Saccharomyces cerevisiae S288C: one gene and its partners. Changing the gene in region 2 together with the main gene of any one other region gives a genetic interaction. Each region holds a gene or a part of one and is shown on either strand. Other genes may lie near its edges.

What was found.
Region 1: mutations in SPS1 (region 2) and AAH1 together harm fitness more than expected from each alone (negative genetic interaction), as found in Saccharomyces cerevisiae (2 studies listed by BioGRID).
Region 3: mutations in SPS1 (region 2) and FAA1 together harm fitness more than expected from each alone (negative genetic interaction), as found in Saccharomyces cerevisiae (2 studies listed by BioGRID).

What each region holds. Positions count from the first base shown.
Region 1 is NC_001146.8:358,011-361,220, reverse strand, and holds AAH1 (adenine deaminase), read right to left. Parts: upstream 1,626-3,210; coding exon 582-1,625; downstream 1-581. Other genes in the region: THO2 (Tho2p), read left to right, coding at 1-297; YNL140C (uncharacterized protein), read left to right, coding at 1-304; ammonium permease MEP2, read right to left, coding at 2,269-3,210. UniProt on the Saccharomyces cerevisiae protein: Catalyzes the hydrolytic deamination of adenine to hypoxanthine. Plays an important role in the purine salvage pathway and in nitrogen catabolism.
Region 2 is NC_001136.10:1,485,344-1,489,102, reverse strand, and holds SPS1 (putative serine/threonine protein kinase SPS1), read left to right. Parts: upstream 1-2,064; coding exon 2,065-3,537; downstream 3,538-3,759. Other genes in the region: GTPase-activating protein AGE1, read left to right, coding at 113-1,561. UniProt on the Saccharomyces cerevisiae protein: Serine/threonine protein kinase required for spore wall development.
Region 3 is NC_001147.6:907,313-911,071, reverse strand, and holds the start of FAA1 (long-chain fatty acid-CoA ligase FAA1), read right to left. Parts: upstream 1,730-3,759; coding exon 1-1,729. Other genes in the region: YOR316C-A (uncharacterized protein), read left to right, coding at 3,137-3,346; metal cation transporter COT1, read left to right, coding at 3,517-3,759. UniProt on the Saccharomyces cerevisiae protein: Activates long-chain fatty acids (LCFA) by esterification of the fatty acids into metabolically active CoA-thioesters for subsequent degradation or incorporation into phospholipids.

The DNA of each region.
Region 1 (3,210 bases), on a different chromosome or scaffold from region 2:
TTTCCTGAAAAGCCATTTCAAGAGGGCAAAGACAGCAGCAAAGCCAACCCTTACCAAGCTTCATCTTACAAGCGCGACTCGCCTTCAGAAAATGAAGAAAAGCCGAATAAAAGATTCAAGAAGGATGAAACAATTAGAAACAAATTTCAAACGCAAGATTATAGAAATACACGAGATAGCGGTGCTGCCCATAGAGCCAATGAAAATCAAAGGTACAACGGAAATAGAAAGAGCAATACTCAGGCGCTTCCGCAAGGTCCCAAGGGTGGGAATTACGTCAGTAGGTACCAGAGGTAATTACTAGTACTTAACATACCCGAGCTGAATTTTAACGTGTACTTTGATAGTTCCCGAATTGTAATCTCGTGAAATACAAAAGGTCCAGCTAATGCTCGTATAATCACTCAAATAAGTTTGTAGAATTCTATTGTATCCTTTCCCACACAAAAGGGGATGTAAAAAGCATCAAAAACATCGAATGAAATTTGTGCATACACATAGTGTTATAAATTTACAAAAAAGCGCTTATGAATCGAAAAAGACTTTCAACAAAAATATTATACAATGTCTTGCAAATGGTACTAATGCGAATATTTAGTGACTACTTCGTCCACTCTACTTAACAAACCGTTCTTTCTTTTATCGTCACACCATGAACCTTTAATGGCGTTCTTAGCGATACGACCCCATGTTTCATGGTCCCAGTGTGGGAAATCTTTCGAAACTTGAGTGTAGACATCTAAGATATAACCACCAAAATAGGCGGGGTCATCAGAATTTAAAGAAAATGGAACATCTCTGTCAAGAAACTTTTGTAGTGGTAACTCTGAAACGGATTGGACTACTTGTAGCTTCACGTTGGAGAGAGGACAAATAGTTAGCATGGTCTGGTCGCGCGACAACCTATCCAATAACTCCTCGTCGTATTGACTGTTGATACCGTGATCGATTCTTGTTACTTGCAACAAGTCTAAAGCATCCGAGACGAATTGAGCGGGGCCTTCTTCACCTGCGTGTGCAGTTAGTTTTAAATCTTTATTCAATGAGGCGGCCTTTCCGTAACATTCAACAAATAAATGTGGGGGAAATGGTTTCTCAGCAGAATCTAATCCTAAGGCAGAGATAGTACCATCTTTAATAAATGGGGTAGCTTCTTCGATAGTTTTCAAACATTCCTCTGGTTCAATGTGTCTTAACAGACACATAATTAGCTTGGATGTAATACCAAATTCAGAGAAGGCTTTGTCACAAGCTCTTTGGAAACCTTTAGTGACTGTTTCTATGGAGATGCCCCTAGATGTATGTGACTGAGGGTCGTAAAACACTTCAGCATGGACCAAGCCTTGTTTGTGAACTTTTTTAAAATAGGCCCACGCCAAATCAAAGAAATCTTGTTCACTAATCAAGACATTAGTACCAATATAATAGTAATCTAAGAAATCCTGCAGATCACGAAACTTCTTATACTTTTCGTTTAATTCCTCGACCGATTTAGGAAAACCTTCAGGTAGAATTATATCGTTTCTTTTAGCTAATGGGAACAATAGGTCAGGTTCTAGAGTACCTTCCAAATGCAAGTGATGCTCACATTTTGGTAACTCCTGTAAAAACTCCACAGAAACCATTATTTTTTTTTTCTTTTCTTTTGTTAGTTCTAATGGTAGTTATTATTTCAAAATAACTATAAATACACAGGCCTGCTTGTCAATTATTCATTTGCAAAAGATGTCGCTTTCATAAGCCTTATATGTTAATTTTTTTCAATCTTCGTTGGCATGCGATGAGGTCAGTTTCCTGCGCCATTTCAGTGCAGTTTCGAGAATTTTAAGATTCAAAAAAAAAAAAAAAAAAAAAAAAAAAAAAAAAAAAAAAAAAGAAAAGAGATGGAAACAGTGAAAGATAAGGCAAAAAGGAAGTATATCAAGGTTTTTACATCAAAATATGTCTTCTATAAGCGATGAAAATTTGCAACCAAAGCAAAATAAACCTTGTGCTCTTTTCCTGTTAACAGCATATATAGGGTATATAGAGGCTTTCTTAAAGAAAATTTCTTGCTATCATGCTCTGGAGATGCTGTATATTATAGTGTGCACAGTTAAAGTCATCGATTATGATAATAACATAAGACAAGAGAAGTAATACTAACGTCTCCCCTCATCATTCGGAGTTATCAAAAAAAGAAAATATATCAAATATTAAAAATAAAATTATTAAATGAAGCGTTACATAAAGATTAAACATAAAATCATAGTCTGCTTGAGTATATCATTATACTATATGGTCAGTGTTCTTAGTAGAAGAAGCGTCGGAAGGCGTAGAATTCTTTTCTGCGTCTGTGTTACCCACAATCTTATCATCAATGTTTTCATGAGGAGGTGGCATTTGTGCCGATGTTTTAGATCTGATTGGTTCTGGGATGTAAGCAGTGGATTCCTCGTATGTAAATTCACCAATTTGAGCAGCGTCGGTACCTAATTCTTCCTCATCAGCACTTAATCTTAGTTTTAAAAATGGAATGGCATTCATAGTTAGAAGCAAGATAGATGTGACAGTAACAGTCCAGGCTAGTGCAGCGCATATACCTGCTAATTGATAACCAACTTGTTTATAGTGATGATTGATCCAGCCACCATCAATTGGACTAATGTAAGAGCCTGCAGTGGCATTTACATAGTCTGCAGCAAAGATACCAGTTAATACAGAACCAATACAACCACCCACACCATGGATAGAGTAACAATCTAGACCATCATCGATGCGCAATAGACTCTTTAAGTCAACAGCAAGGTTACATCCTGCACCAGTAACCACACCAATGACAACGGCTGACCAGATTGGCACGAACCCGGCGGCTGGGGTGATACCCACTAGGCCAGCGATGATACCTGAACACAAACCAACTGTAGTCCACTTTCTTCCGCATCTGAAATAATCGATAACCATCCATGTCAAGCCACCGCAAGCAGCAGCTAAGTTTGTGGACATAATAGAGTACCATGCTCGTATAGTTGCATTACCTGCAGAGCCTCCGTTAAAGAACATCCAACCAAACCATAAGAACACTGTGCCTAAAACCACCGAGGTGACGGAATGTGGTTTGTACTTGGGCATCCCTTTACGTGTAACAGGGTCATTACGCTTACCCAGTATCAAAGCGTAAACTAGACCACCATGTCCAGATGTTAAATGGACACATAAACCACCTGCATA
Region 2 (3,759 bases):
AAGAAAAGTAAAAATTTGAGCGAAAAAGAGGATAAAAATCACATTGAGGCAGAGTGGTTAAGGTAGCTGTACCAGTCATTTTGAATACATTTTTCTGGATGTTCCATCAATAATGGATTTTTATACTACTGATATCAACAAAAATGTTGTGCCTTTGTTCAGTAAAGGAACAGTAGCAAGAACAGCATCAAAAGCACAGTATCCATCATGGTGCAACAACGCGTTAAAGTTAACTAATATTCTTCTTAAATCTCTTCGATGTAAATTTCAAACGAACCGCTGCGAGGATGATCGAGGTTTTGAGGTATATTGTGTTATTTTAAAAAGCATCGCTTTATTAATGGCCGCGAAAGAATCATTGATATTACTACAAATACCTCCTTCTTTACCATCAGGATTTCCATTTCGTTCACCCCAACTGTCATTTACATATTTATCAACCCGTCTTAGTGGGAGCCAACACAAATCTACGCATTCTCATCACATCAATCATCAAACTCATCCCATTCATAGTAGCAGTAGCAACAGTAATAGTAATAACCGTATTCCTACAAAAACAGATTCCTCCAAACAGCATACACAGCATTTCTCTTTTGCTAATGCGGGAGCCTCCAATAGAGACGAACTGCTATCAATCGTGCGCAAAATTGATAAATCTAATTTGAAGTGTTGTGACTGCGGTAGCACCGCAACAGTAGAATGGGTGTCAATCAATTTATTGTGTATATTGTGTATCAAATGTTCGGGCGTTCATCGATCTCTGGGTTCACATATCTCCAAAATTAGATCTTTAACGCTGGATAATTTCACCTCGTTAGAGTTGATGCATCTTTTACAAAATAATGTTTCCAATAGTAATGTTAATGCCATTTATGAAAGCAATCTCAGGAACTTTCCAGTTAAAAAAATAACTGCAAATTCTGATGACTCGGAAAGATCCAAATTCATTATTGATAAGTATCAATTTAAAAAGTTTGTTATCGACAGCAACCAAGGCAGAGAGGCTTCTTTGAAGTCTTTAATTAAAGCTATCCATTTAGATAGTGTTTTCATGATGCAAAGAGCCATCGCCCAAAGTAAATATTCCCTAAGAGAATTGACGGCAAGCGAAAAAGAGCAGAATGATCTAAACCATTCTTCCATTTTTCAATATTCCCTAAAGCACTATGAAATTGTTGATGGAACGCCCATTTTTTTTATTACAGAATTTTTATTGTGCAATGGTATTCATATAGATAATTTACCGAAGATTACTACGAATTGGTCTCCAAAGGTTTTAGAATATTGGGAAACTAAGTTGGAGATGTACGGAACATTCCAAGCTGTAAATACTTCTCGTCCAAGATCAGGGCCGCATTTAAATATGCATTCAAATGTAGATTCAGCTTCGTCCTACAATAAGAAACACGATTTGAGAGTTAACATACCTGAAAGAAGTGCCTCAGCAAGTAAAAGGTGGAGTTTGAGCTCCATTCCTAAGTCTTCTCAAAATTTGATGTCCCCAACAAACTTATTAACAATGCATAAGTCTTTAAAATTGGCCAAAAAGGACAAAAAATAACATATATGATAATTTAACTGTATTTTTTTCCCTTTTCTAATACTTTTTCCTCAAGTTATATTTCGGAGCTGTCCCAGGTTCGGAACAATGCGGCATCAGGGATAAAAAAAAATGACACATAAAAACGAAAAAGACACAAATTCCATTTTTTTTTTTTGACGCGAAAGAATGACACTACTTTCTTCTATTGTAACCATTTCTAACATCGATATTTTACTTGTTAGTTCAGATATATACTAAAGAGTCACTTAATATACTGTTTTTGTTTATTATCTTGGTTCCAACTGCTTCATTTAATATTTCCTATCCAAAAAAAGCCAGCTAATTCTCTTCTTTTTTTTTCTTATTTTGCCATTTTCAATATTATCGATTTAGTGAACACCTGGCTAGTCAGTTGTCTTAGCAAACATTTCTCAAAAGAAAGCAAACCAGCATTTGCTTTTTAAATTTAGTTTTTTTACTAGCTAATTCATTTACTAAACAACAAAAGAAAATAGCACAAAATGGAAAGCAAAGAAATATCAATTAGGTCAAGAACCCCTCCATCGAAGCTATATTCCATCCAATCATGTATTGGCAGAGGTAACTTTGGTGATGTGTATAAAGCAGTGGATAGAGTTACGCAAGAAATTGTGGCAATTAAGGTGGTCAACCTGGAGCATTCCGACGAAGACATTGAACTGTTAGCACAGGAAATTTTTTTTCTGGCGGAATTGAAATCTCCTCTTATTACAAACTATATTGCAACAATGTTAGAAGATGTCTCTATGTGGATTGTCATGGAATATTGCGGCGGTGGATCATGTTCAGATTTACTGAAGCGAAGTTACGTCAACGGTTTGCCTGAAGAAAAAGTTTCCTTCATTATTCATGAAGTCACCTTGGGTTTGAAATACCTGCATGAGCAAAGGAAAATTCATCGTGATATCAAAGCAGCTAATATTTTACTAAATGAAGAAGGTATGGTTAAGTTGGGTGATTTCGGAGTAAGTGGCCACATTCGTTCCACTTTGAAAAGGGACACTTTTGTAGGAACGCCGTATTGGATGGCTCCGGAAGTTGTTTGCTGCGAAGTTGATGGGTATAATGAGAAAGCAGATATATGGTCCTTGGGTATCACCACCTATGAGTTACTCAAGGGCTTACCCCCATTATCTAAATATGATCCTATGAAAGTTATGACTAACTTACCAAAAAGGAAGCCTCCAAAATTACAAGGTCCCTTTTCGGATGCAGCAAAGGATTTCGTAGCTGGTTGTCTTGTTAAAACACCTGCTGATCGGCCATCGGCATATAACTTGTTATCATTTGAATTTGTTAAGAATATCACCATAACGAACTTGAAAAGTGATGTTGATCTAATTAAACAGAAAAAGGTTCAGGAGAGATATACAAAAGTTCCCAAATACCCTCTTCAAAATCGCTTGTATAAAAACAGCAACACAGTGAGGGGAAAGGAATTTTGGAATTTTGAATCGACAAGACTAAGCACAACACAAATTTCCAAAGAGGAATTATCTCCCATTACACAAGACTCTCCAACATCATCTTTAAATATGGAAAGTCCTTATTTACTTCATGGGCAAACTGTAACGCCGATAACCAACCCAAGTTCTTCATCATTTAGAAAATGTACGCAACCAGTTTTCGAGCTTGATTCAGGAATGGATATAGATTCAGGCTGCCCAAATGCTCAAGCAGAGACCGAAATAGTTCCTCTCTCTAATCATAATAAGAAGCATAAAAAGAACGATATTCAGGCGTTGAAGATAGAAAAGTTTGACTACTTGAAAAACATTGTATCTCATATTCTCAACAGAATGTATGATCGTGCGCGCGACGATGAAACAAGAAAATACGTAAATGAAATGTTAAAGCAATTCATTAAAACTGAGGCAAACGTTCCTGGATTTAATGAGGTTTTTATAGAAGAGATCTCACTAAGAATTGAAGCAATAAAGAAAGGATTCGTTTAAAAAAATAGATATATATATATAATGTGTGTATATGCATGAGTTTTTGTTTTCCATTCTCTTTCATCTTCAATAAATGAAGGATGGATATATTGAATTATATAACAAACAGTAAAAAGTCATGTGTTTTTGATTATTTACCTGCTTATTTCTCCCTTTTTTTTTCGATTCTTTTTTTCTGATCGAGCGTTTATGTCTTTACTGTCCCGTCATTGATGCGTCTCA
Region 3 (3,759 bases), on a different chromosome or scaffold from region 2:
ATCTGTAAACGGACTCTAATTTCTCGAGTGCGATATATTCACCGTTCATTGTTTTGACCAAGTTTTTCTTCCTGTCAATTATTTTCAAATGGCCATTTGCTTCCCATTCACCGATGTCACCGGTCTTGAACCAACCATCGCTTGTTAAAGCTTGAGAAGTTTCTTCCTCATTCTTATAATATTCAGGCGTGACATTGGCACCTGTGATCCAAACTTCACCTTGGTTGTTTTTAGCAAAATAACCTAATTCTTCAACATCAACTAGTTTGACGGTAACACAACCTGTTAGGTCACCAGCGACGCCGAGTTCAAAATTAGCAGGATCCAAGATGGTGGTACTAGCGCATGTCTCGGTTAAACCGTAACCAATAAGCATAGGGCAGATTAAATTTGTGATGAATTCCTGAGCATCCCGACTGATTGGAGAACCACCGTTTAACAAATATCTTAATTGGCCACCTGTGGCAGTTCTGATTTTTTTGAAAACCAAGTTTCCTAAGGCGCCGCCACCAGGGATGTGGAGACGTTGCATGTTCAACTTGGTATTATACGCGGTCCAGAAGATTTTCTTGGTGAGGAAGGGCAAATTATCAATTTGGTTTAAGATCCCTTTTCTCACTGTTTCCCAAACAGCGGCGACACCAACCATGATTGTGGGCTTGAATTCTTGCAAATCACCTTGACAATTTCTCACAGAGCTGCTAGTTAAAGTTTTTACGGTGGCATAACCAATGCAGGCCCCCCAATAAAAGGACAATAGTTCGAAAACCAATTCAAAAATATGAGCTAGTGGCAAAAAACAGATAACACGGTCGGTATTGCCCACAAACTTCAAAACATTCAAACTTGCACCACCAACACCTGCGACAACATTTGAATGTTTCAAGACAACACCCTTTGGCTCACCTGTAGAACCAGACGTATACATGATGCAACAAAGATCATCCTTGCCAGGTGGATGAACATCGATTTCGTTACAGGATTCTTTACCTAGCTTCAAGATGTCGTCAAAGCTAAAGGTCTTGATATCAGGTCTAACTTCTTTAATTCTGTTGATGGCATCATGAGCAGATTGATAGATCTTACCACTTTGCCTCCTGTCCTCAGAACTGATGGAATCGAAATGAATTATGTATTTTACGTCTTGAGCGGCTTGCACTGGTTTGATCAAGGATGGTAATAAAGAGTTATCGGTAAAAATGGCCTTAGACCCCGTTTGCACCAAAGAATGAATTAGCCCTTTCTCTCCCAAAGTATCGTAGGCAGTGACGACAGGAATACCTTGAGACTGCGCTCCTAAGAACATCTTCATCCACTTGTGAGAAGTGGCTGCGTAAAGATGTAATTTGTCATCATCATTAGGCTTTAATCCTATTTTCACCAACCCACGACCAATTTCATGCATGATATCGGTCAATTGGTCAAATGAATTATAATGATAATGCGATAGTTCATAATACATCCATTTCTTTTCCACTGAAGTCTCCTTGCCATCAACTTTTTTCATAACCGATTTGGATTCTTCATGAATTTCCTTAACATCCCTCCAACCCATAGCATTTGAATTTTTGTTCTTCTGAAAGCACTCTAGAACAAACTCATAAACAGTGGAACACTTTGTGTTAGGCGGTCTGACGAGCGGCTTCTCGCGGCATTGATAATTTCTTCTTGGAGCAGTTTCATGCTCATTGGCGGCTTTCCCAACTGGAACGGTATATTGAGCAACCATATTGTTGTCTTTTTTTGTCTTTTGTGTTTGTTCTAGTTTTTATTGTATCCTAACGAGTTTTTTAACAACAAGAACTTTCTATACTTACTAAATATACTACAATTGTCTCACGACAAGTGAGGGGTAAAAGGAAAAAAAGAGAGAAAAATAAGCGGTTAAAGCCTTTTACTTAAAGACAGCGAAGGAGATCTCCAAACATTTTTGTTGTAATATCGATAATACGATATCCGCGAAAGGAACCAAAAAAAGCAAAAAAAAAAAAAAAACGCGCGAGAACAGCCTATCTCTGCTGTCCCGTATGCACAGGGAAGTTCTCCTGATATGCGATGGGTGGGTGCCCCTGTGTCATTCGTATTATATGATGTATTCGTGCCTGTATCATGCATAAATATTCACATGGCGGAGATCATGTTCCTGACAGGGCGTGATCGACTTTACTATTGTCCTTGTCATTCCCTTATGGAAGAATATGACAGGGCTGCATCATCCATATTCTAAGTAATTCTCTTTGCCGCGCTAAGCATGGCTTCATCGCTTGTTAGAAGGCGCATTTGTTATAAAGTTCAGCCGGCTCTATCGGTCCGCTAGCTAGGTCTGTTTACTTTCCGCAGCGTAAGCAGCTGGCAAAGTGGATCGGTCTTACATCTACAACGCAGTGACGTTTCTGATACTTTGGTGACGTATTCTTTTCTCACCGCTACGTTTTCTTCGCCCGCTCCGTGCGGACCGAAAAAAGACCCTCTCCCCTTATAAATTTTGTCAGTATTATAGCAATTGCCTGCGGACTTTCACCGCGCTTAGATCAAGAGGGCATCATGAGGCTACCTACAATTGACATACTAAGTCAAGAAAAATAATAGTGTATCGAATACGCGTGGTAGCTACATTAAATACTAAAGTATGGTTTTTTTTTTTAAGTAGGTTTACTCTTCATATTCTTCATTTTCATTTTTCCTTTTCTTCCCGTTCTTCATTTTTATTCCTAGAAAAAAAAATAAATATGTCTATCGTTAACCTAAACATAAACAAAGTTTAGCCCGCTTATTTAAATGATGCCCAGTACTTTTTTTCAAAACTCATATAATTATATATATCAAGAATGCTTTCCAACCACCGCTTGTATTAAGGTGTAGAAAGGTGGTTTTTGTATTCAAAAAGAGTACAAGCCCATTATAGCTAACTTAACAGTCCACCCTACTATATCCCACGCATATCTGGTTTTAACTTGTGGCGGGCGATATGGAACGAATTTTTCAAAGTTAACCATAGAAAAAAGCATGTGATCAAGGCAGAGTGAACGAGGGAAAAAGAAAGTGTGGAGAAGGCCACCTTTTGAAAAGTTTACCAATCGATCGGTCTCTCAGCACTTTCTACATTTAATCTCTTTATAGTGAACATCGCTGGCTCATGCTGGTTCCCATGCATAACTCACCCACGGCCGCCAACGGCCGCTTATCACTTACTGTCGCCAGCTCCGGTCTTAGAAAGGGTAAAAAAAACCGGGTGTATACTATACACTCATACATCCGCTCACCCGTTTCCAGTAGTGAATTTTCATTTTCTGTACGAAGGCAATATAAGCTGACGATCCGCATAAAGCAGAAGACTCATTTGTAATGCAGAATATCCGTACAATAAAGGAATTTATTGGTCTTATATATTCTACGTGGGAGCTCGAAAAGCATTTCTGGTTCTATTTAGTAACCAATTATTTTCACTTTGCTCAGAATAGTTCTGCATAGCTATAGAAAGAAAGTTAACACAAAGTACGGAAAGATTGAGTAAATATGAAACTCGGAAGCAAACAGGTAAAAATTATATCCTTGTTGCTGCTAGACACAGTGTTCTTCGGGATCGAGATAACTACCGGGTACTTGTCTCACTCTTTGGCTCTAATCGCGGACTCATTCCATATGCTAAACGATATAATTTCTCTTGTGGTTGCACTTTGGGCCGTAAATGTTGCCAAAAACAGAAATCCGGATTCAACGTACACTTATGGTTGGAAAAGGGCGGAGATTTTGGGTGCT